Kluyveromyces lactis: one gene and its partner. The protein of the gene in region 1 interacts with the protein of each later gene in a pairwise test. Links are inferred from orthologs where the notes say so. Each region holds a gene or a part of one and is shown on either strand. Other genes may lie near its edges.

Region 1 (3,822 bases):
TACTGACGCCGAAGTGGGGAAAGGTGTGAGTTTGAGAAAGTTAATGAGAACAGTGTATGCGGGCAGCATGCATATTATTCAGCATATTTTACCTAAAATGATAGCGTACGATCGCGGTTATATAATTGACATTGCTTCAACGGAAGGCTTATACACTACGGAAAATAAGTCTTCTTATGGTGCCATACAAGCAACGAAGTTTCAATTACTCCAACTGATTGAACAGACGTTGAAAGAGCAATATAAGAAGAATTTTTTGATCAGCAACGGCCGAGTTCGCTGCTTACTTTTGATTTTTGGTAAAGCTCTTAATTCTAAACCGCACCAGGATATGACGACGGCTAAAACTGTTTTCAGTGCTATCTTTCATAATAGACAAGGTGTTCAGGGATACTCGATGAGGACGAATTTCAAATTAGCTCTAAGAGAATTGGATTGGCAATGGTATCAGATGTTCAAATATTTATCCCCCTTCCTATAAAACTTTTGCCGTTTATGAATATCCGTTCCTTAATGCCGCTCTTGTTGAGAATCTAAACGCGGGAGGGTGGAATTCATATATGTAAAATGTATATATTCAAAAAAATCTGTTAATTCAAAAGCTGATTATGCTTCCTGAATGCGATTATGTAGCTCTTTCCATATTTCAAGATTTCTAGTGGCATTCTCCTTCATATATTTCGCATAATTCTTAAAGATTTGAGTCAATTCTTCGTCACGTTCTTTAATGAAGTTTGGTAATTCAGTATTCTTTAGAGTTTCAGAAATAACGACGAGATCACTAGTAGCAACTTTCAATGTTTCATCTAGTTGTATCAACTCTTTCTCTAAGGATCTTGCAGCTGCTGCAGGATCTTGTTCCTGATAACTGACAGAGTCCTTAATTATGATTGCAAGTTGGGTAAACTTATTTATGAATTTTCCAGAGTAGCTTTGTGGTCCTGCAGGGTTTTCTAGATTCACTGCTCCATTTGTACCAAGCTCTTCCTTTACCATATTGTCTATTTGCTTGTGGTCGTTTTCTTGCTGTTGGAACTTGATGAGTTGACCTCGCTTGTAAAGTATTGTCCTTTCTAAGATATCTTTTTGGATCAACTTTAACCTTCTATAATGAATTAAATCCCGCACAGCAGTGGCCATGTGGGCACATTCACTAAGAGGCTCATTAATGTTGTAATGCAAATTTCCGACAAGAGTTTCCAGAATTTCTTGCAGAGTCCCATATGCATCACTGGAGTGTGAAAGTAATTCTGCTAGTCCACTCTCGTTCTTTGTTTCGTCAGTTGACAATTGTGCAAACTCAGAGCTGATTCCTTTCAAATCTTCCCGTAAATAGTTCACCTCCTTGGTAGTAGCTCTTGAGTATTTATACAAACCAGAATGTATCAATTGTTCGTAATTTTTGAATTCCGCTTCAATTTTAGTGAACTCATCAGCGTCCGAAGCTGAATGATTGTCCTTTGATGCCAGCAGTTGTGTTGATGATGACGGTACTGGCAAATATGAATGTGCTTTTGTAGTGTTTGTAGGGTCTATTGGATTGCACTGAAGAACACTTTTCGGTAATGATGAGATAGTAAGAGAGCTTGTGATTAGATCGTTCCAATTTTTATTGTTCGGATCCAAAAAGTCGTACACGATAGAAGTCTTTGTTATTTCCTGGTTTTTCAAGAGTCTGTTCAAGAAACTTGTAAGCATCCTGATTCTGTGCCGTATGAGCTTCTCATCATTCGTGGTAACCGGTCCGTTAATTACTGATAGCGAAAGATCTACTGAGTCTCCGCTTTCCGTTGGTAATAGGTAACTTGATTTAGAATATGTCATTGCTTTTCCGTAACTCTTGAGTGATTGCTTTTCAGGAATTGGCGGGATCAAACTTATTGGAAATAACTTAACTAACACTTTCCGCAAACTCTCAAAATCGCTGTAACGCCGCTTCACAATTGAATCACCATATTTGATAGCGTAAGCGATATATGTTCTTCCCTGTCCTTCGGATACTTTACTTGCCTCGAGTATTTGGGCCCTTTTCTTACCTTCTTTTGTCATCCCGCTCGCGTTATGGTTTAAGGTATTATATGGCACATCTGGCGAACTATCCTTACTCGTAGCTACTGAGCTCCTACGCCGTTCCTTACTATTTTTTCTTCTGTTTGGCTGAAGAAGCTGGTCCTCGTTATCATCACTTCCGGCGTTTTTGGCATTCTCATCATCGTCATCATTCTTTCCATTCTCATCACTTCCGTCCACGTTATCCTGCATATAGTTGAAAAATGGGTTGTCCTTTTTGATAATCTGGGTATGTATTACATTCTCATGAGGTTGATCACCGTTCTGGTTCGTGACTGCAGTGTCTTTGGGAGATCCGTTGCTTTCCCTTCTCATCTCGCTCTGCGTCTGTAAATCAGGTTCATGCTCCTTATGCTCCTCAACAGTCTTATTGTTTTTAAGTCTTGAAGGACTGTTATTTTCTAAATGCGTTACTGAATTCGGCATTGGTTCAAAATTTATCTGCATAAGGTCACTAAATAGCTCTTCATATGCTCCTAATTCAACCCTTTATCTACTCATATTGAAGTTCGTGTCAATTCATAAGGGGCGTTTTACATGTCAACAAGTTGTAACTTAACTGCCATGTTCGGGTAACAGTCTTCTCGATTTCTAATACGTGTTTCGGGGCCCAAAGTTTTTCTGGCGCAGCCCAATTGTTCATCATCAACATGCATCTTGAAAAATCATTTATACCATTACGGTTAGTTAAATCGATCTGACCAGATGAGATGCGATGAGACCAGATAAACTTAATTACATGTTATGGGAATGTATATAGTTTTAGAACCTGATTTCAACGTAAGGATTTTTATATCAGATAATGAGCCACTCAAGGCAAATCTTGGGTAGGTATATCTCGCCCTCAGTACAAGAAGAGATTCTTTCCTCACTCATTGAAACTGAAGATTATGAAGGTATTAGTTCGGTGCTAAGTTCGGTTGAACTAACAGAAGATGTCTCCATTAACACTGGCAATAGACTATCTATCACTCTTGGAGAAGTAATCGCTAAACATGTCAATGATGACGATGGTTTGCGAGTTGAAAAAGATCAACAACTAATTGCATTGCTTAAGCTTTGTCCCAAGCTAAAGCAAAGCAATAAATTTATGCATGATTTTCTAAGTTCCCATTTGAGCTCATTCATCCTTTCGCATATAACAATGCTATTTGATGTTGAATGTCAACAACTGATTAGAATATCTGGGTTTATTCAAGTTAACTCGCTCGATGACGGATTGATCTTAGATGGAACAAAACTGCTAGACATTCTTGAAGTGTTGGTTCAAGGGTCCGCTTCAGGATCATATAACGACCTCATCGCCAACAGTGTCAACATTGGAAAGCTACTCTTTTTACTTTCGTTATCGAAGGATGAGAAACTTTCAAATGCGGCGACTTCTTTGTTCAAATGGTGGATCCCATCGTTCGCTACAGCCTGCAAAGAGGATGAGAAACTAGATATAACCGTATGGTCTCTTTTACGTAACTTGCTTACCGAAAGCGCACCAATCACAGTTGCAAAAAATGGCTATATCTTTTGTTTAAGGATGTTAATGGAGGATGGATTCTCAACAACAAGTCAAAGTTTCGCCCAATCAAAAGATTACTGGAATTTAATACAATCCGGACTAAACCAGGAGGTTCATGAAATCAAGAAAATTGTGCTCTCTATCATGAAGTTGAGTCTCCAATTACTTGCTCAAAATAACTTACCCATCCTAACCGATATTATCCAATTCAGTGGAAGTAGGTCTGAGATTGAATCATG
Region 2 (2,258 bases), on another chromosome or scaffold:
ATGGCAAAGCCATTGGTGGCTTAACCACTTCATTTTCCCAAGTAACGTTGGTCAAATTGGGTAGATGGTGTTCTTGGAACAGTTGTAGTACTTCTTTAGAATGTTTACGAGAACCAGTGATTCTAAAAGTTAAAGGTAATTGCGACTGGCAAGTCTTCTTAAACTGGTCCCATTCTTCAACTGGGATTACACCTAAATCCTTGTAGTAAGTTTCCCATTTCTCGTTTTCCTTCACTAATTCAGTCCAATTCTTTTGGTTGTTGGAGTCATCACGAGTACCAAAAGTCTTTTTTGGTCCCTTCTTTTGATTCTTTCTTCTAGCCATTTCTCCTGCTTGTATGTTGCACTAGTTCTGGTAAGAGAGAACCGAATAAACCCAACAGCAAGACACACAAGACCGTATCTGACAGGAAACAATGCTCATCTCATCGCATCATCAACGGATTCTAATTTTCACTTTTTCTTTTCTTCAAAGTCTCGGAAAATTTTCAAGTCACGTGGTATGTAAATAGAGAGACTGGATCAGGTACACAATGGAAGGCATGTAAAACACACACACTAAGTAGTATTACCTCTAAATATCAGCTGGTGAGTATCTGTAATTTATATCCTTGCTAATCTGTTGAGAAACCCCTTCAGACACGGATCCAGTTTCCGGCAGCACTAAGTAATCTTCGATCCATTTCTCCAATAACCAACTAATTGTGATGAGACTGGTCTCATCGAATCGTTTCACTAGATGCGGGTACCTTTGTAAGATGAGTTGTGTCAAAAAGTAATGCACCACTTTCGTATCAATAGTGGGTAATCTCGTTTGTAATTCGTCTCTAGTCAATAATGGGATTGGAACGATATGGTTCAACCTTAAACCAAGGCATTCATCCGGTGAAAGAATTGATCCATTTGGACCTTTGACGAGGTTATGGCTTGCTTCATATACGTTTGCGTTCATTGGAGGTATGCTTTTGGAATGCTAAATGGCTGTGTATAGTATGAACCGGGGAAACAGAAGTTGTTGTAGTTATGTGCAATTCACAATTTTTTAACATAGTGAGATAGTTCAAATTTAAACTAGACAAACAGTGCAGCTTCGCTGGAGTATTTGTTGAATGATGAATCAGTGCACGACGCTAGCCATATAACATACTTCTAAGTACAGCCAAAAAAAATGAAGGACAGTGTATGTCTGCCTCTGAACCCACACGCACTGCTTAACCACGGGACGTGCAATCCACACCACCTCGTCACGGGCAGTGTTCGTTGTGCTGGATGAGACTCCCCTACAACGTTAAACACTAAACTAGCTTCAAGTATTAGTTGAAATGCTAAATCGTTACCAGTTGGGCTTCGAACCGCAGACTTCTCATGCGACCGAGCCACCACAAAGGATAACCCGCAACAATTTTGTAACGGTGGGACACGTCGACCACGTGACAACCGAACCGAGATCCAGCTGTCCAAAGCAGTTACACAAATAAATGAACGCGTAGACCGGGCGGCCAGACACGAAAAGCGGGTAATGGCATATAACCACTACGAGACATTTCACGCCTGTTTGGGATACCATTGTGAAACCTCTTCCATTTGAAAGAGACCCGGTGTGACTGTGCGGTTTCGAACCGGAGCCACATATCCAAGCATCACACTCCTTCGACAGGGTGCTTTCTTAAACATATTTGAGGAAAAAAGAAGATGATAGCAGATTGAGGCGATCACGTGAAGGTTTTTCTTTATTCAATTTCCAGCCCTAGGGATTACTCCTCTAATATGATATACTTATGCGCTAGAGGAAAAACCTGGATATACATATACACATATTTTTACTTTGAATATACACGACGACTATATCTGATATACTTCATGCAGCCATGCCTTTCGTTTTACTTACACATACGAAGTGACTTCGAAAAATCTCTTCAAGTAATAGATCTGGAACAACGAATTCACTACAACGACGAGCAATTGGAACACAGACCACCATTTGACACGGTCATTAGTGGATTCTGCTGTGTTTCTGTGAGTTCTTTCTCTGATAATAATGTAACTTTGTTCGTTCTTCACTTCTTTGACCAGTTTGGACAATTGTCTCACTGAGCCGTCCAAAGATCTGGTGTTTGGATCATCTAAATCGACATAAATAACACCGAAAACATTGAAAGTCACGTCCTTAGTGTCAATGTTCGAGTTTTCATTCAAAAAGCAGTATTGGAACTTGCCGGTGTATGGAGCGTTCACAAACACGTCACCATGTGACACGT

What was found.
Region 2: the proteins of ATG20 (region 1) and RRN10 interact in a two-hybrid assay, tested with the Saccharomyces cerevisiae proteins (2 studies listed by BioGRID). The link is inferred for Kluyveromyces lactis from reciprocal best matches to the Saccharomyces cerevisiae genes ATG20 and RRN10.

The regions. Positions count from the first base shown.
Region 1 is NC_006041.1:817,223-821,044, forward strand, and holds ATG20 (Atg20p), read right to left. Parts: upstream 2,518-3,822; coding exon 607-2,517; downstream 1-606. Other genes in the region: KLLA0_E09153g (short-chain dehydrogenase/reductase), read left to right, coding at 1-481; TRM3 (tRNA (guanosine(18)-2'-O)-methyltransferase), read left to right, coding at 2,873-3,822. UniProt on the Saccharomyces cerevisiae protein: Required for cytoplasm to vacuole transport (Cvt), pexophagy and mitophagy. Also involved in endoplasmic reticulum-specific autophagic process and is essential for the survival of cells subjected to severe ER stress.
Region 2 is NC_006042.1:1,161,433-1,163,690, reverse strand, and holds RRN10 (Rrn10p), read right to left. Parts: upstream 953-2,258; coding exon 575-952; downstream 1-574. Other genes in the region: NCL1 (tRNA (cytosine-C5-)-methyltransferase), read right to left, coding at 1-325; EMP24 (Emp24p), read right to left, coding at 1,885-2,258. UniProt on the Saccharomyces cerevisiae protein: Component of the UAF (upstream activation factor) complex which interacts with the upstream element of the RNA polymerase I promoter and forms a stable preinitiation complex.